Callithrix jacchus: one gene and its partners. The protein of the gene in region 1 interacts with the protein of each later gene in a biochemical or structural test. Links are inferred from orthologs where the notes say so. Each region holds a gene or a part of one and is shown on either strand. Other genes may lie near its edges.

Region 1 (4,134 bases):
TGAGGAGGAGGGCCTGTTCCGGCTGCCACTGCAAGGCCTGGGAGTGCTGGGAGCCAACAGGGGGGTGCAGCAGAGGTGCCTCCACATCAAACCCAGAAAAACAGAGCGGGGACACGGCAGGACCCAGCAGCACTGTCCCCCGAACACCCACAGCACCGTCCCTTCCCTGAGCAGGAGCCATCTGCTGTCCTCTGCTCCCACGTGGCCTTCTTCACTCCTACAGACAGGACCAGGACCTGTGCTGGAGGACAGCCTTCTTTATCTCCCTCCCTCTACTCTGTCCTGGCAGAATCAATGCACCATTTTTTTGTTTTGTTTTTGAGACAGTTTCACTCTTGTCACCCAGGATGGAGTGCAATGGCACCATTTCAGCTCACTGCAACCTCCCGGGTTAAAGTGATTCTTCTGCCTCAGCCTCCTGAGTAGCTGGGATTACAGGCACACGCCACCGTGCCCAATTGGTTTTTGCATTTTTAGTAGAGATGGGCGTTCGCCATGTTGGCCAGGCTGGTCTCGAACTCCTGACCTCAGGTGATCCACCTGCCTCTGCCTCCGAAAGTACTGGGATAACAGATGTGAGCCACCAACACAATTAAATCTTAAATACAAACCTGCATATTGGCTGACCATGTGCACCTGCAAAACCCTTCCCTCCCACCCCAGGAAGAGGGAGTTTTTGTCCTCAACTCCCATTCCTATCCTTGAAATCGTGAAGGGGATTATAGGTAACCTGCAGGCACTCTGCCAAGAGTGTCTGTGCTTCCACCCGCTTCCCCACCTTGTGAGCACCCCAGCTCCACAGCACGCCCCGCCCCGTCTGTTCACTGCTCTGGCCTCAGCGCCTGGAAACTGCACGTCCATAAAAAACCTGAAGGCGAACCTCATAGCTTTATGCAAACTGGACGGGAGAGAGAGCGCAGAGGCAGAGATCACCACGTCCACTGACGTCCTGAGCAAGAAGCCACGTGTGCCCACGTGATGCAGACCAGAGGACCAGGGCTCTGCCTGCCCTCTTTTCTGAACCCCTTCTGCATTAAGCTCTGGGGCCTGGGACCTCGACGGCCACCCTCTCCTCACCTGGGCTCCTGCGCAGCCAAGCGCAGTCACGCACGCTCATCTTCCAGGTCAGCTCCTGCAGCGAGAGCTTGGCATGCTTCCCCAGAGAGATGAACTTCTTGGTGTTCCTGAGGAAGCGACGCTCGTTGTGCCTGGAGCCCCAGAGGCCGGGAGGCACCAGCCGGCGAAGGCAGGCCCGCAGGAAGCTGTACACCTGCCAGGGGCTGCTGTGCTGGCGGAGCAGCTGCACCAGGCGACGAGGGTCTGTGTCCTCCTCCTCGGGGGCTGCCACAGAACCCAGGGGCTCCTGGGCACAGACACGGGCCGCCGGGGTGACCGCAGTCCGCAGTGGGCAGTGTGTCTTGAGGAGCGCCCCGTAGGGGCACCGCGCGTGGTTCCTGAGCAGCTCCAGAAACAGGGGCCGCATCTGCCAGTAGCGCTGGGGCAGGCGGGGCAGCCTGCGGGGCGTCCCTGGCCTCGAACCCAGAAAGATGGTGTCCAGGAGCCTGCGGGCGCCCGTCAGGCTGGGGCGCAGGGCGCTGAGTAGGAAGGAGGGCCGAAGCCGCTCCTGGGCACCCGAAGAGTAGAGGAAGTGCTTGGTCTCGGCATAGACCAGGGGACATGGCGTGTCCCGGGGCTGCGGTGACCGCGATTTGGATGGGGGCCCCGCCCCGGGCTGGTGGCCCGCTGATGGGTACGAGTGGCATGCGCCAGGGGCTTCCTCGGCTGCTCCCACAGGTGATACCACGCAGAAACCGTGGCCACTCGGTCCACGTGTCCTGCCGGGGTGCGCCCGAGATCCCTGCCCCACAGGCGTCCGCTCCGGCTCCAGGGCAGGCCCACACCTGGGCCTCTTGGGCCACGGTGGACTTACGCTGGCGCTGCCCCGGCGCCTTCTCTCACCCGGGGCTGGCAGGCCCAGGCGGACCCCGGGCTCCTTGACGCTGCTGCTCCAGGCCCGTTTGCGTCCCAGGCCCCTTCGCGTCCCAGCCGCGTGTGGCGCGGGCCGGGGCTCGGGCGCAGTGCGGAGCTCGTACAGCGGCGGCCCGCACACCTGGTAGGCGCAGCTGGGAGCCACCAGCACGTAGAGCGCGCAGTGCGCCAGCAGGTAAACCAGCACGTCGTCGCCCAGGCGGCGCAGCAGCAGCGCCCACGCCCCGCTGCCGCGCAGCGTCTCGGTCACCGTGTTGGGCCGGTAGCTGCGCACGCTGGTGGTGAAGGCCTCGGGGGGGCCGCCGCCGGCGCCATCCAGCAGCGCGAAGCCGAAGGCCAGCACGTTCCTCGCGCCACGCTCGCAAAGCCTCTGCAGCACCCGGGCCACCAGCTCCTTCAGGGGGGACACCTGCGGGCGGGGGAAGCGCCCTGAGTCGCCCGCCGGGGGTGCGCGCGCCGCTCCGCTCCCACCCCCGCGCCGGACGCGGACCCCGGGTACCCCACCTGGTGGAAGGATGGGGCGGCGGGGGGCGGCCGTGCGTCCCAGGGCACGCACACCAGGCACTGCGCCACCAGCGCGCGAAAAGCCGCCGGGTCCCCGCGCTGCACGAGCCGCCGGCCCTCGGGCCCCAGGCGCCGCACAAACGTGGCCAGCGGCAGCACCTCGCGGTAGCGGCTGCGCAGCAGGGAGCGCACGGCTCGGCAGCGTGGCGCGCGCGGCATCGCGGTGGACTGCAAGGGCCGGAGCGCGGCGTCCCACGTGCGCAGCAAGACGCGGCGCGGTCAGCCTCCAACCTGCGCCCCAAGAGAAGGCGGGACCGCGGAGAGGAAGGGGCGGGGCCGGAGAGTGAGGGGCGGGGCTGGAGGGGAGGGGGCGGAGAGGGCCGGAGGGGGCGGGGCCGGGGACCGGGGACGGGGAGGGGTCGGGACGGGGACGGGGGCGGGGTCCGCGCGGAGTCGGCGGAGCTAGGTGAGGGCGGGGGCGGGCCGGGTTTAGGAAGCCTGGGTCCCTCTCCCTCCGCCACGTGGGCAGCGCAGTCCCGGGCGTCTGCGCCCCCGAATCCACCGGGATCCCGGCCTGGCCTGGCCTCGACCGCGCAGCTGCTCCGTGCGGACCCGGGGGTCTGGGACGCGCTTCCCGCCCGCGCGCCGCCGCCGCTCGCAGGGTGCAGCGACCCCAGCGAGGGCCCCGCAGAGAGGGGTGACGTCAGCCCAAGCGCGGGGTAACCCGAGGGAGGGGCGGTGGCCCTGGGCACAGGTGCGTGGGGCGCTCACTTCATGGCTTTCCCAGATGGGCCCGACCCCTAGAGCCAGGGCTGTCCCCCGGTCCGGACGGGGAACGTCGGGAAGAAGCAGGGCGGCGGGCTCCCGGCCCTGGGAATGCAGGGCTCCGGGGGAGGACCGAAGCGCGTAGACGCGGCTGGGGACGACCCCCAGGGCACAGCGCTCCCGGGACGGGCACGCGGGGCTCTCGGAGCGCCTCCCTGCCCACGGGCAGTACTTCCCCGCGACTTGGTCTCCTTTTCTCTTTGCAGGTTCTTAGGCCGCGAGGGGTCCCCACCATGAGCAAACCACCTCAGATCTGTTCACCCACCGGGCCGTCGCGTCGAGGAAGGGTGGGACATGCAGTCAGGTGCTCCTCTGGCCCGGCACTGGGGGCCTCACACCTGCCGCAGCTGCCTTTACCCTGGGCCCTGGCGCGGTGTCCACCAGCTGAGGCCAAACTCCGGTCACTCCCACCCGCAGAGGGAGGAGGGCAGCCTCGGGGGTCCGGGCACCTGGCTACAGCCTCGGACCGCTGAACCAGAAGGCCCGACCTCCAGCCCAGCTGAGGAAGCCACGCAGCCGCTGGGCCCCTGCAGACCCAGGGCCCGGGCACAGCCGAGGACTTCCCCGAGCCCCAACTCCGGCTGCTCAAGTTTGCATCTAGGAGGTAAGAAACTTCTGGGTCTCCAGAGGCTTTGCGGGGAGCGTGTAGCTGAGGTCGGCAAACACTGAAATGCTAACAGATGCAACCTTCAATGTAACCTTTCCTACTTTCCGAGAGTGTGGGCGGAAATTGCTTTATTTATGGGCCTAGCATTTGAACAGGCCTCGCGCCCTCCCTGAGCCATCACACTCGCTAGGGGTTCGCCTCACCTTGTA
Region 2 (3,339 bases), on another chromosome or scaffold:
TCCATGTTTGTCAGGCTGACCTCACATGATCCACCCACCTCAGTGTCCCAAAGTGCTAGATTATAGGGGTGAGCCACTGTGCCCAGTATTTTTTAAACCTTTGGAGACATGCCAGCTAATCTTTCCCCTACCGACTTGTTACCTACTGCTCACAACGAGCTCAAAGGACCAGAAAATGAGCGACTTTAGACACTGAGTTTAAAGAAATCTGGTAATGAACTGAGACAAAAGGCCAAGGAACTGACTACATTTAAGACACAAGGTGTCCCATGAATATCATCACAACAGTGCAGACGTGCACATGGGATGCACATTGTCTGCATTATTTTCTGTCTACATGTACTCCACCCCACACGCACCAGAAGTACACATTGGGAAGATCATGTCAACCCTTACAGTGGCCAATGTTAGTCACCTCCTGCTAGTACCTCATGTTTTACATTGTGGCACCAATGCTGTCACATCAAGAATACTCCCCTTCTCTGCCCAAGACAGACACTGTCACGCAACTTCTTTTAACTCATCTGTATTTGTTACAACTTTAAGCAGAATGTAACTCGAGCACTACATTTCCATCCACAAGACTGGCTCTGAGTTACTTTGAACAGCTTATGGTATGCTTAGGTAGGCTAATAACTGCTCCTCCAAACAATACTTTCTTTGGAAAACAAGCCCTGTGGAGAGTTCCATCAAGTTGCTTCAGTTTAACCTATTTCTAGAGGACTAGTACATGCAGAATTGGCAACTACAGGGAGGAAGAGTTCAGAAAGTAGATCCTACAAGGTATAACAAACACTTCTCTTCTAAACATCAAAGTATAGCTTGGGAACACTTCGATAACAAGATTTGGTCTACTAAGGAATCTGGCTTGCTAAACACTTTAGACCACAAAGTTAACATGTTACATACATCTTACAACACAAAGTACCTCGATCTGTTAATGTAAGCCAACGTGAAACTAAACAAGCATTACTAGCTCTGCGTTACTGCCTACAGTATCACAGCATCGCTCAGAAGTCGGCAGAGATCTACCTTCCCCTTATAGTTGTGATCATGCCATAGACTTTTTAATGTTAACAAAAATAAAGAAAAACATCCTTGAAAATATATTATTAGAGGAACTGTAGAGTACTGAACAGGTAAGTCATCCCTCAGATGGAGCTTAGTCTACTTCTTCCATGCGTGACGTGTCGTCATCTCCTTCGAGGGGTGGCATTTCTTCAGTTACAGCTGCACTGGTATCATCAGCAGTAGGGTCATCTTCATCAATACCTGTTTTCAAAAGAAAATCCTCTATTAGGAAGATTTCTTAAAGCCAGCTAATTAGTATTAATACTCCTGGTTTACATCTGCTTTCAAGACAGTATTACTGGGCATAGGAATCTTCGTTTCTTAGCTCTTGTAACACCTTATCCCTGTAGAAAAAGATACCTGAATGCCTCTGAGCAGGACAAGGTGCTCCAAGTTTGGATAACATTAACCACTTTTTCACAAGTCATGTATGATTGCTTTTCAACTTGACACAGTTTAAGGCTTACCTAGACCAAGTTTGATCATCCTGTAGATCCTGTTAGCATGTGTCTGGGGATCCTCCAGACTGAAGCCTGAAGACAGGAGAGCGGTTTCATAAAGCAAGATGACCAGATCCTTCACAGACTTGTCGTTCTTATCAGCCTCCGCCTTTTGCCTTAAGGTCTCGATGATGGAATGGTCAGGGTTTATCTCCAGGTGTTTCTTTGCTGCCATGTAACCCATTGTTGAGTTGTCTCTCAGGGCTTGAGCTTTCATGATTCTCTCCATGTTTGCTGTCCAGCCGTATGTGCTTGTGACAATACAGCATGGAGACGTCACCAATCGGTTTGACACAACCACCTGTAATGAAGAAGTAAGAACTTAGGAGCCTAGAAAGATTAAAACCTAAACTTTCATTGTGAAATGAAATCTGAAGAACCAAAATATCAATATGTCGGAAATACCATCTACTATCAAATACAACTTAAGGTTTTATTAGGTATCCAAACAGCACAGGCTAAAATTGTGTTTTACATACACAACCATAGTTTTCAGTGAAGCTGAGAACAAGGGAAAATGGGTTATGTAAGCTTGAAAGCCCCTTAGAGGTATCAATCATCAGGAAATGCTGTATTCACATACCTTTTCAACCTTTTTCTCCAGTATGTCTTTCATGATTTTGCAGAGGTTCTCAAACTTTGTTTTCTTCTCTTCCTGTTTCTTTTTCTCTTCTTCATCCTCTGGAAGTTCCAAGCCCTCTTTGGTGACTGACACTAAAGTCTTCCCCTCAAATTCCTTCAGCTGTTGGACACAGTACTCATCAATGGGCTCAATCATATAGATCACTTCTAAGCCATGCTTTCGAAGACGTTCCACAAAGGCTGAGTTAGCTACTTGGTCCTTGGTCTCACCTGAGGTATTATAAAAGTTACTTTTATACCTTTTGACAGTAAGGAATGGCTTCACCTACTTCTGACTTTTCTTACTAGTCAGATACCTAGGCAGAACCGAAAACAGATGACTGAGCTCATGTTAAGTATCCTGCTTAGATCAACACCAGTTATACTAACAGTGCTACCTGAGTAGAAAACACATCCAGAGCCTACAAGGTTCCAAGAACAAAGTGTTTGAGTGTAATGTACTGTCCCCCTACCTGTGATATAATAGATATGTTTCTGGTTTTCCTTCATTCTGGTGCAGTAGTCTTTGAGAGATACCATCTCATCACCAGAGGCAGATGTGTAGTATCTCAACAGCTCTGAAAGCTTCTTCCGATTTTGAGAGTCTTCGTGTATTCCAAGCTGAAACAAAGTAAGTTCTTTACAAAGATGTCTTGAATTTAAAAAAAATCTAAAAAGAGGCCAGTTGGAAAACTACTAATGGTCAAATATTTACACTAACCTTTATGTTTTTAGAGAACTGCTCATAGAACTTCTTGTAGTTCTCTTTATCTTCTGCCAGTTCAGTGAAGAGTTCTAAGCATTTTTTGACCAGATTCTTCCTGATAACTTTCAAAATCTTGCTTTGTTGCAACATCTCACGGGAAATATTTAGAGGGAGATCCTCTGAGTCTACCACCCCTCTAATGAAGTCTGAAAAAAATATAAAAACCAAATGCACTGAGTCATTCCAAAGACAAAACTGGTGCTAGATAACCCCCAAAAAATCAAACGTAAAAACCTCAAAATATATACATATGTATTAAGATGGGTCTGTTTTACAGGGTGGAGTGCAGTGGCCCGATCTCTGCCCACTGCAACCTATCTCCCACTCCCCTCTCCCTATTCAAGCTATTCTCAAGACTCAGCTGGACTCCAGGCACCCACC
Region 3 (2,626 bases), on another chromosome or scaffold:
TTAAAGGAAAAGCAACCAAAAATCAAAAATATATCGTTTCCCAATGAATAGGTAGGTGGTCTTGCTATCTCAAGTAATTCACATTTCTGTTTTGGTTATTTATTCGAGGTCATAAAGAAAAAATTACTTTTCTTCCAAAGTTAACATCACTTTTTTGAGTTTGGTTTTTGATGTAAAATATCACTGTGTAAACATACTTTTTATATACACTTACTTTCATCATCACTGTCTTGTGAATCCTGCAAGAGGCAAAATTTAGAAAAGTTACTGAGCTGACCAAATATTCCTTTGCTAACTGAACAGTTTACCTTAAGTTCAAGTGCTGTATTTTTGATCTAAAGTAGCACAGGTAGTTAAGTACATCAAGCATAGAAATTTAGTCACTGGACTTAAGACTAGGTTTACCTAAGGTGAATGGATGTACAGCAGAGGATCTATCTACCTGTTAAAAACTAGTGTGTGCCTTTTGGAGACATTCAGCCCACATTTTGAATCCCTCCCTAAATTCTATCTTGGCATTCAAAGAGAAAACATGGTTCAATATGAAGAACAATGGACTGACAGAAAACAGTGAACTCTAATCCTAGCTGTTGAGTGAATATTACATATTTTTCTAAACTGTATTAAATAACTTTCCAGGAGCTGTTAAAATGCTGGTGTTGGGAAGATGCTCAGAAAAGTAGTTTAATATATCATCCTCTTACAGATTTACAACGTCCATTTGTTTAACTGGTCTCTGACTAATCCTGACATTAAACCTATTTAACTTGCTTTCTTAGTCAAAATAATCCCTATAAACCGATTCTTTTTCTGAGACAGACTCTTGCTCTGTTGCCCAGGCTGGAGTGCAATAATGTGATCTTGGCTCACTGCAACCTCCACCTCCTGGGTTAAAGAATTCTCATAACCGTATCCTCTCCAGCAGCTAGGATTACAGGCATCTGCCATTATTGCCTGGCTAATTTTTGTAGAGATGGTTTCACCATGTTGGCCAGGCTGGTCTTGAACTCCTGACCTCAAGTGATTTGCCCACCTCAGCCTCCCAAAGTGCTGGAATTACAAGCATGAGCCACTGTACCCAGCCTAAATTGACTCTTATAATTCAGTAAAGTATTAATATATAATGTCACTATACAATGATTCTTTTGAAATCTGATCCATTTAGGAATGGTCTACAGAACAACCAGTTCCCTAGTAGATATTCATTCCTCAAAAATGGGCAGATTTTAAAAACTGCTTTTCCCTTTTTATTTTTTTTTTTACAAAATAAGAAGTAATCCTGAATCTCTATAAAACCACCTGTAATATGCTGTTTCTTACTATTTAATAGTATAAAAGTAAACAGAAAAAAAAACTTTTAGACTTACATCATCTGCTCCATCTACTTCTGGTAAATCTACATCCTCATCACCACCCATGTTGTTCATCATCTATTTGAAGTGTAAAAATTAGTTTAAAAAATGATGTTGTTACGTTAGGCCCTAATTATTAGGCTGCATGCTTCAGAATAAACCTTAAGTCTGCCACAGATATCCACAAATGAAAAATGCAAAATAAATGTAAGCATTTTCCCTTCTGTGAAAGGTAGATTATAGGTAATTACACAAAATCCTAAAAACCTGTACGGAAATTAAAACTAAATTTTCCCTAAAGAAAAACCAAGCTACTCATGCAGCAAGTATCAATGTATGACAGACATTAAAAATTCTACTTGAGTAGTGGTTACCTCTGGTGGTTAAAGAAAAGAATGGGATTCATCTGTAGTTGCAAAGCTTTCTATCTTAAGTTAGGTAGATTGTGTATTATGGTATTCTTTTTTTGTTGTTTCCCTGAGATGAAGTTTTGCTCTTGTTGTCCAGGCTGGAGTGCAATCGTGCGATCTCAGCTCACTGCAACCTCCGTCTCCCAGATTCAAGAGATTCTCCTGCCTCAGCCTTCTGAGTAGCTGGGATTACAGGCATGCACCACCATGCCTAACTAATTTTGTATTTTTAGTAGAGACAGGGTCTCTCCGTGTTGGTCAGGCTGGTCTCAAACTCCTGACCTCAGGTGATCAACCCACCTTGGCCTCCCAAAGTGCTGGGATTACAACAATGACACACCACGCCCAGCTGGTATTTTTTTTTTTTTTGATACAGTCTTGCTCTGTCATCCAGGTTGGAGTGCAGTGGTGTGATCTTGGTTCACTGCAACCTCTGCCTTTGTGTTCAAGCAATTCTCATGCCTCAGCCTCCTGGGTAGCTGGGATTACAGGCATGCACCACCATACCGAGCTAATTTTTCTCTATTTAGTAGAGACAGGGTTTCACCATTTTGGCCAGGCTGGTCTCGAATTCCTGGGCTATAGCGATCCACCAGCCTCGGCTTCTCAAAGTGATGAGATTACAGGCACGAGCCGCCATACTCAGCCTTTTTTATTTTGAAACAGAGTCCTGCTCTGTTGCCCAGGCCGGAGTGCAGCGGCACAATCTCGGCTCACTGCAACTTCTATTTCCTGGGTTCAAATGATTCTCCTGCCTCAACTTCCTGGGTAGCTGGGAGAATAGGCACACGCCACCATGCCCAGCTAATTTTTCTATCTTCAGTAAAGACAGGGTTTCATCATATTGGCCAGGCTGGTCTCAAA
Region 4 (4,035 bases), on another chromosome or scaffold:
TCTCTGTTCAAGGTTCCATCATCATCAAAGTCTAGAGAGCAGACACAGGAAGCCAAAAGACATGGTCAGGAGGGGCTCTGAGGTTCCACAAACGGTGCCCATTTCCCAAGCATGGCCACCACAAAGCCCACGTGGGAAAGGGTGGTGTCCCACCGGGCTTTGGTTCTCACCGAAGATTCGGAAGGCATAATGGGACTTGATATCTGGCGTGGCTGTGTCACTGAACACACTGAGGAGGTCCAGGAAGTCCTCGAAGCTAAGGCTGTCTCTGGTTGGGGACGTGGAGAAGACTCTGCAGATTCGCTCCTTGAAGGGGTTGGCCTAGGAGAACAAATACCATAGGACGTGGCCCAGGTCACACACTCATCAAACACTATTAGAAACTTGGGAGAGCAGGTCATAGGATCAGCAGCAGGGAGCTCAGGCTCTCAAGGGTGAATGATCAGTGCTTTGGGGCCAACATGCAGGGCCATGGGGGCACAGGAGGGCAAACTGAGCCAGTTGGGGAAGGGACTGAGACAGCTTCCTGGGAGTCAAGTGTTTAACCCAAAGGCAGGTCATGTACAACCTAAGTGTGAGCAAAGAGGGAAGAAGAAGGCATCTTAAGCAAAGGGAACGAGATGGGCTGGTTATTTTAAAACACGAATGGTTAACTGAACACCTATTGTGTTATAGGCCCTGGCTCAGACCCTTTGCACAAAATTTTCACAACAGCCCTGTGAATTTGCAATCACCCTCTAGAACAGGGTTCCTCAAACCTTAATATGGTAACTCAACTCCTCTTAAAGGACAAAACTTCTTTGAACTTCCAAGAATATGTCCTAGAATCCCCATTTGAAAAGCACCATTCTAGAGAATTCTGCCAGGTGATATTAGTAAAGTCCTTGCCCCCAGAAAATTAGAACTAAGCAGAGAAATGACCAGAATGGGGACCAGTGACCTCATGATCTCAAAGCTAGCGGCAGATGGAGTTAGGGGGGTCTAGCAGGGAGGGAGTGGTGAGGGAGGGGTCAAAGGAGGGGAGCACTGGCACCTTGAGCTCTGGAAGGCTGAGGATCTGCTCGAAGGACACTTGTGCCCGAAGTGACGCCTCCACGCTCTGCTGCTCCTGGGGAAGCAGCTCACAAAACCGCTTGTGGGCTCTGGCAGAGAGAGGGGAACGGTTGGCCCTCTCAGCGATAGGTGTCCCTGTGTGTTCATTCCCACTCCTTGCCTGCTGCTCATCAACCAAGTGAGGAGCTGAAACCACGTACATAGAACTTCCCAGTCATCAGGCAACAGTAAGCAAAAGGACATGTCAGGAGGCTGTACAGCCTAGGAGTCTAGTCTTACGGTGAGTATTTACTGAGCATCTACTATGTGCTGGGCACTGATTCTAGAGATCCCCGAGGGATAAAGAGGTTGGGGATGGAGCCAGAAGTTGGCCCTAAAGAACTGGCCAGGTGCTATGGCTCACGCCTGTAACCCCAGCACTTTGGAAGGCCAAGGTGGGCAAAGCATTTGAGGTCAGGAGTTTGAGACCAGCCTGAGCAAAATGGTAAAACCCTATCTCGACTAAAATACAAAAATTTGCCGGGCATGGTGGCTGGTGCCTGTAATCCCAGCTATTCAGGAGGCTGAGGCAGGAGAATCACTTGAACCCAGGAGGCAGAGGCTGCAGTCAGCAGAGATCGTGCCACAGCACTCCAGCCTGGGCAGAGACTCTGTCTTGATAAATAAATAAATACATACATACATACATACATACAGGGAGAAAAAAACAAAACCAAAAATCTCATTATCACCTCCACTCCAGGGATCTCTTGCCTTCAAAACCTCCTTTTTAGCAGCCACCCTGAACTGTCCTCCTCCTCAGCCTCCATCTCCTTCCCATGAGATCATCTTTGCGCAGGAAGCCCAGGCATCTCCTCACTCAAGTGCCCGCCCTGCATATATCTGGCAAAAGGGCTTCCAGGTCAAGTTCAAATCTACTTGCTCAGAGTGTTGTCTTAGGCAGTTAGCAAACCTCTCTGAACCTGTTTCATTGTCCAGTACCTCTCTCCTAAAGATTAAATTAGGTCATGCAGGCAACCATTTAGCACAGTCCCTGGCACAAGGTGAGTGCTCAGAAAGCGTTAACGGTTCCTGTATTGTTCAGGTCAAGTTGGGAGAAGGAGCCAGACTCCCCAAGGCTTCCGTGGCTTAGCCACTGCGCAAAGCCGGCCCCTGCCGGACTAGAGCAGGAAGTTCGGCAGTGATGAAGCTAGTCAGCTCAGGGTCAAAGAGCACCTAACTTTTCTCGGAGGCTGCCACGCAGAGCCCCCGGCGAGGGCGGGGAGGGCGCAGCCCGGGCAGGGTCTCCCGGCCTCCAGCCCCAGCCCCTCAGCCGACCTCAGGCCGGCCCCCGCCCCTCCCTTGGGACAGCGCCCCCCGCGAGTCCGCCTCTAGAGGAGCCCGGGATCAGAGGCGGGGTTCAAGGCAGCACTTACAGGAGGATCTCTTGCTTCGTCAGGAACGTCAAGTCCTGGAATGCAAAGCCAGAGCGGGGGTTATCGGGCCGCCGGGAGGCCGTGACCGCCCCGCCGCCGCTCCCGGACCCCGCCCGGGAACAGACCGGCACGCGACTCCCTAGGGCCCGGCGTCCCGCGCACCTGATACTCGGCCAGCAGATCCTTGGACAGGCGACTGCCCGAGCCCCCCATAGCCGCGCCGCGCGCAACGCTCCGCCAACTCGCCTCGAGACGCCGACAACTTTCTCACTTCCGCCTTTGGGCCGCGTCTCAGCCCGGTCCCCGCGGCAACCGCTCCAGGGGCCACCGCCCCCGCCTAAACGCGCCCAGGCGCTCCTAGCCGGGTTGGCAGGCGAGCTCCCCGCTCCGGGCGGTCCCAGGCGAGCTGGGGGCGGGGTAAGGGGCGGGGCCTGATGCCCCGGGGCAGAGCCCAGGCCTCACGGCCCCGCCTCCGGGGTGGGCGGGACGAGCCACACCGCGCGCATGCGTGCTGGCTGCGCATGCGTCACGGGCGTCGCTTCCTGGCAGCGGTCCCTGCAGCCGCTGCCGGGAAGGTCGCGCGGTGTATCCTCCTCGGCTGCTGTAGGTGGTGGCGGCGGCAGCCCTGTGTGGAGTCCCATAGGGGCATCTGAGAAGTCACTAGAGCTGACGTTTACAGGAAACCTGGAGACTCGCTGAGTGGCCGGGGTCTTCGGCTGCCCCTCTGCCCAGCAAGGATTTTCTAGACGTTATCAGGCAATCGAGGCACCTGTCGCAGCCCCCAAGCCGCCTCTTCCAGAAGTAACCCGAACCTTGCTTCCTTCTGAGGCTATTTACTGAGGACCTACTGGATGTCAAGCAGTGTGCATAGTTTTCTTCGACTGCAAGGTAGGTATCCATTTTACAAAGGTGGAAATACGTAAGTCCAGAGGGATTTAGTGATGTGTCCGGGCTCCGGCGTTTAGAAAGTGATTGATCCAGTCCAAGGCACTTGTCTTCTTTTTTTTGGAGACACAGTCTCCCTCTGTCGCCAGGCTCCAGGCTGGAGGGCAATGGCGGGATCTTGGCTGCCTCCTGGGTTCAAGCAGTTCTCCTGCCTCAGCCTCCCAAGTAGCTGGGACTACAGGCGCGCGCCACCATGCCCAGCTAATTTTTGTATTTTAGTGGAGACGGGGTTTCACCCTGTTGGCCAGGGTGGTCTCCATCTCTTGACCTCGTGATCCGCCTGCCTCGGCCTCCCAAAGTGCTGGGATTACAGGCGTGAGCCACCGCGCCCGGCTCCAAGGCACTTTTCAAGGCTCTCCACTGCTGTTTGCATCATTCCAGCTGACATGCCATCCTTTGACCCCATCCCACCCCTAGACTGTATGCCCTAGGCTATAGAGATCAAAGCTGACCCTTTTGCTCTGGTCCCCTCTTAACCTCTAGGACAATGCTTGGCACATAGTACGTTCTCGGTAAATATTATCAAATGCATAATGAATGAATGAACGTATTCTACTGCAAAAGGTAAGGACGCCAAACTGCTGGGAGGTGGAAGTGGAGGTTGTGTTGGTCAGGCTGGGAT
Region 5 (4,192 bases), on another chromosome or scaffold:
CCTGGGGTGACGTCACGCGCCCACGACTCGCCCCGCCTGTCACTGTTAGCACTCTCCGGCCCGCTCCCCGCCTCCTCCGGTAGCGGGTCTGCGGGTTAGAGAAAATAGGCTGAAGGGAGGAGACCAAGCCTTGGCCAACTGCGCTTGCCGTCGCCATTCCGCCCTAGCCTGTGCCGTGCTCCGCGGCGATTCAGTCGAGACCGGAACCAGCGTTCATCTGGGACTCCTCTGACTCCTCTTTCAGCTCGTTCTGCCTGACGTTCAAGACCTTGCTTCGAGGTTTATGGCCCTACATCCCTCGACTACGGATTGCCTGCCTGTCTGCATCCTTTCAAGTTCCCTTATTCAGCCTTTTAAGGGTTCGTAGTGGATTTGGAAAGCCCCCTTCTCCACCAACTGCCCCGAGAGGTGGGGGCAGCAGTGGGCCGGCACACAGTGCTGCTGTAGGAGGAGGAGGGGTTTCAGCCTGAGTCAACAGCATACGCAAAAATCACAGCGAGTGAAAGACGTGGGGTTTTCAATGTAGCAGACATTTAATTCTTATTTGCCAACTCCTGAGCTAGGGTCTGGGGATTACAGTTAAATAGGACGTGATTCTAGTCCTCTAGGCACCAGCGGTCTTGGAAAGGAAGCCAAACAAGTAAACTGGCCATTTCAATACTATGTGGATGTTACAATGCTAGAGGTAGGCACAGGGGGTGCAGTGCAAGGGAGGAAGGGCGTTAACATCTGCTACCTACTCCCAGGTCCCAAGCATTCGTATCAACGTTATTTCACTTTATTTCCTCGTTATTATGAAAGGCAGGTATTGATATTCCCACTTAACAGACGAGGAAACAGCTTCAGGGTGTTAAACTTACTTGACCCAGTCGGTCTCCTAGTCCATTTCAGAACCAAGATTCAAAGAGGTTTTGTTTAGAAAATCTAGGGGTTTTTTTACGCATACCAAAATAAAGTAGCCTCAGGGAATCAAAGCATTCATGACAGAAGGTGACTTCTGAGCTGAGTCTTGCAAGAATTCTGGAAATTAACGAGGCAATTTTATCAAGGGTGGTGGTGTTAAGGGGACGGAGCAGCTTGAGCAAGAGTGAGAGTTCTAGGAGTTTGGGGAGGGAGGAGGAAAAATGATTTGTTACTTAGGAACAAATAGCAAGGAAGGTTTGTGAACTATGATTGGAAAAATAAAAAAGCCTGAACTCTATCCAGTAATCCTTGAAGGGTTTTCATCAAGTGGCCTGATGGGATTTGCATTTTACTCTGGAAGATGGTTTGGGGTTGGCAGGAAGAACACTTTTTTGTTGTTGTTTTTTGTTTGTTTGTTTTTCCAGGAGAACATGGCCCTAAAAAATGTAGTAGTAGTGGGGATAGAAGTGGATAAGTTCTAGATATATTTGGGAAATATAATTGGAAGGACTTGTGGACTGATGAAGATATATTTAAGAGGTACAGTCAGTAGGACTTGTTGATTGAAGGTGGAGTAGAAAGATGACATGGGTTTCTGGCTTGGTTGGAAAAAGCATAGCATCATTTGCCAAGAAGAAACAAGAGATGGAATTGTTTGGGGTTGGGAAGGTGGAAGATGAAATGTTGAGTATCACACGTCTTAAATTTGGGGTGTCAATCACTTTTGGATAGAAAGTCTTATTTAGTGAGATGATAGTGGTTGTAGATGTCAGTGATTTGTTCCAGGGGACAATGAGTAAACTGAGAAAAGCAAAACCCTACGAATGGAGCAATGCAGATCAGCATTCCATGAAGAAGCAGAAGCTGATGAAGGAGAAAGATAACAGTGGTCAGAGAAGTTAAGCCCTGAAAGCTAAGTAAGGAGAGGGAGTGGGCAACTATGATGGAAAGGCCATAAAGCAAAGATTGAGAAGTATGCACTGCAGGCCATTGTTTCTGGATGTCAGGATAGGAAAGAGTAAAAGGTGAGAGTAGAGCTCTCCTTGCAATGAATTGAGGAGTGATTATGAAGTGAACTAGTGCACAGAGTCTGTATACAACTCTTTGGAAAAGCCTGATTGAAAGAGGAAGATGAGCTGTGGGGGAAGAGGCATTCAAAAAATGGTAGTTATAGTATCTTATTGAGGATTCTAAGGCAGGAGTAGGGAGACCTGAGTATGATGGAGCATGGTAGGGTTGAGAGTCAAGTCAAGCACACAGCATTTCAGGGTTAGGGAGATAAGTTGTCTGCATCAGTGTGCAGCTGAGGGTTCAGCAGGGCTTCCAACAGGGCAAAATACGGTACTGAACTGCCAGCTTCAGGGCAGGGGACAAGTCACCTCTCCTGATAGGAAAGGGTCAGGGGTTGAGTAGAGACTTCAGCAAAGCTGGGAAGTTGGGTGTTCCCCAGCCTGTCACAGGATCCCAGCCAGGGCCAGAGCAGAAACCCTGGCCCTCCACCTCTTCATTCAGACAGGACTCATGGCAGCCATGGGTTACCTAGGGAGGAGGGTGGCATCAGATCTGGGCCTGCTCGTACCAGTACTTAAAGAGTATACCTCCCTACCCTATATTCACATTTCAGAGGCCAATCAACAGCATCCCAACTGCCCCCCAAGTACCCCTTATCACTCCCCATAGTTGCATGAAAATGTTCACACCCTTCCCTTCCATACTCACATCGAAGAGTCCTGCCCCATGCTGCTGGTAGAGCCTTGGATTGAGAAAGCCAAGAGGGGGGCGGCCACTGAGGATTCTGTGCTCATTGATCAAGGATAGGAGCCCCCCAAACACTGGAGTAGAGGCCTGCAAGAGTGAAGGTGCAAGTAGAAGTCAGGGGTTCTGAGTGACTGGACTTTTTTGGAGTAAAGCTTTAGAGTATGAGACATCTCTAAGTAGTTGGGTTCTGGATACAAGGTGCTCAAGGTGTTAGTGGGTAAGAGTAATTCCTGAGTGAGAGTTTGGAGATGGGTTGATTCTCACCGAGGTTCCAGACACCCATGGTATGGGCACACTGTTGCTGACCACCCAGTAGCCATCGGAAAGTGCAGCCACATCTGGGTAGGCACGGCCACTGGCATTGAAGTAACTGGATGGTGGCAGGTGGGGGCTAGAGTTCAGGAACTTGGCTACAGCTTCCTCCTGAAAGGCATTTTTGAATGAGAAATTGGCCTGTGGCCTGCCCAGCAGTCAGCTGAACTGAGGATCCCCCATCCCCACTCTCACCCTGCATCCATCCACATAAACACATGTACCTGGTATGAAGGTCGTGGGAACACATTGCTGAAGCCACCACCACTGATATAGTCAACAATCTCATTTGTGATGCGGAAAGGATTCTGGAAGCTTGTGCCTCCCACTGTGGTGACATAGGGGCTGAGGGCAGAAGACAGCATTCAGATAGTAGGGGATGCAAGCAGACCTCCAAGATGTGTGGGGAGGGGTGAGTATGGCCCAGGTCTTGCTGGAGAAATTAGACTTTGTGGGGAAGCATGTATATGGGATTGACTAAGACTTTTGAGCCTTCAAGGCATGGCCTGAGGTGACTGTGCACACTTTTCTCTGTAGAACATCCACCAAATCTTCCACTAAAATGCCTGGGGACTGAGGAAAAGAAACAGTGGGAGCTGTATCCCACATAAGAGATTTGGGGACTGGGACCTACAGGAAGAAGAGACAGGAGTGCAGCAGCCAGGACAGGCAAAGCTTAAAGCTGAACCACAGGAGCACATGGTGGAGTCAAGACAAAGGTTCTACATCATGAGTTCACAAGTGAAAGGTGGTGGTTATACCTGAGTGGTAGGCTAGAGTTCTTACCTGGAGGCAGGGAAGGAAGGACGGAACTGGTGTCTTCCAGAGACAGACCAACACCCAGCCCCACTGTCACCTGAGAGAGACCAAATGTAGCACTCATTAATTTGTTAGGGCTTAGTATGTGGGTTCAGATGTCAGAGAGGAAATTTAGGTGTCAGCTATTACTGCAGGAGGTCAGAGTTTAGAGGTCAGGTCAGTGGTCCCAGTTGGAAGGTCTCAGTTTAGATTGTGAGTTAGAGACCAGGCTCAGGGGTCACTGTGGGGCCAAAGTTTCCAGGTTGCAAGGGTGGAGGGGGTGTCTAAGTTTAGGGCAGGAGGTCACCTGAGGCGAAGAGCAGGGTGAGACCCCGAGTGGCGGCCTTCATGAGCTCAGTGTTGACCCGCTGGATGTAGGCGCTACTGAGGGAGTCCTCATCATCTCCATAACTCACAGTAT

The links.
Region 2: the proteins of TERT (region 1) and HSP90AA1 form a complex in vitro, tested with the Homo sapiens proteins (2 studies listed by BioGRID). The link is inferred for Callithrix jacchus from reciprocal best matches to the Homo sapiens genes TERT and HSP90AA1.
Region 3: the proteins of TERT (region 1) and PTGES3 form a complex in vitro, tested with the Homo sapiens proteins (2 studies listed by BioGRID). The link is inferred for Callithrix jacchus from reciprocal best matches to the Homo sapiens genes TERT and PTGES3.
Region 4: the proteins of TERT (region 1) and CIB1 form a complex in vitro, tested with the Homo sapiens proteins (2 studies listed by BioGRID). The link is inferred for Callithrix jacchus from reciprocal best matches to the Homo sapiens genes TERT and CIB1.
Region 5: the proteins of TERT (region 1) and TPP1 form a complex in vitro, tested with the Homo sapiens proteins (2 studies listed by BioGRID and IntAct). The link is inferred for Callithrix jacchus from reciprocal best matches to the Homo sapiens genes TERT and TPP1.

The regions. Positions count from the first base shown.
Region 1 is NC_133503.1:204,793,306-204,797,439, reverse strand, and holds the start of TERT (telomerase reverse transcriptase), read right to left. Parts: upstream 2,802-4,134; 5' UTR 2,713-2,801; coding exon 2,494-2,712; intron 2,399-2,493; coding exon 1,078-2,398; intron 1-1,077. UniProt on the Homo sapiens protein: Telomerase is a ribonucleoprotein enzyme essential for the replication of chromosome termini in most eukaryotes. Active in progenitor and cancer cells. Inactive, or very low activity, in normal somatic cells.
Region 2 is NC_133509.1:137,000,252-137,003,590, forward strand, and holds the end of HSP90AA1 (heat shock protein HSP 90-alpha), read right to left. Parts: intron 3,105-3,339; coding exon 2,914-3,104; intron 2,814-2,913; coding exon 2,666-2,813; intron 2,424-2,665; coding exon 2,155-2,423; intron 1,873-2,154; coding exon 1,539-1,872; intron 1,273-1,538; coding exon 1,163-1,272; 3' UTR 514-1,162; downstream 1-513. UniProt on the Homo sapiens protein: Molecular chaperone that promotes the maturation, structural maintenance and proper regulation of specific target proteins involved for instance in cell cycle control and signal transduction.
Region 3 is NC_133510.1:62,989,734-62,992,359, reverse strand, and holds the end of PTGES3 (prostaglandin E synthase 3), read right to left. Parts: intron 1,431-2,626; coding exon 1,320-1,430; 3' UTR 513-1,319; downstream 1-512. UniProt on the Homo sapiens protein: Cytosolic prostaglandin synthase that catalyzes the oxidoreduction of prostaglandin endoperoxide H2 (PGH2) to prostaglandin E2 (PGE2).
Region 4 is NC_133507.1:19,354,568-19,358,602, forward strand, and holds the start of CIB1 (calcium and integrin-binding protein 1), read right to left. Parts: upstream 2,808-4,035; 5' UTR 2,682-2,807; coding exon 2,631-2,681; intron 2,504-2,630; coding exon 2,469-2,503; intron 1,143-2,468; coding exon 1,034-1,142; intron 322-1,033; coding exon 171-321; intron 32-170; coding exon 1-31. UniProt on the Homo sapiens protein: Calcium-binding protein that plays a role in the regulation of numerous cellular processes, such as cell differentiation, cell division, cell proliferation, cell migration, thrombosis, angiogenesis, cardiac hypertrophy and apoptosis.
Region 5 is NC_133511.1:72,320,233-72,324,424, forward strand, and holds the end of TPP1 (tripeptidyl-peptidase 1), read right to left. Parts: coding exon 4,079-4,192; coding exon of another isoform or gene 4,074-4,078; intron 3,830-4,073; coding exon 3,760-3,829; intron 3,319-3,759; coding exon 3,198-3,318; intron 3,085-3,197; coding exon 2,926-3,084; intron 2,749-2,925; coding exon 2,623-2,748; intron 2,443-2,622; coding exon 2,302-2,442; 3' UTR 515-2,301; downstream 1-514. UniProt on the Homo sapiens protein: Lysosomal serine protease with tripeptidyl-peptidase I activity. May act as a non-specific lysosomal peptidase which generates tripeptides from the breakdown products produced by lysosomal proteinases. Requires substrates with an unsubstituted N-terminus.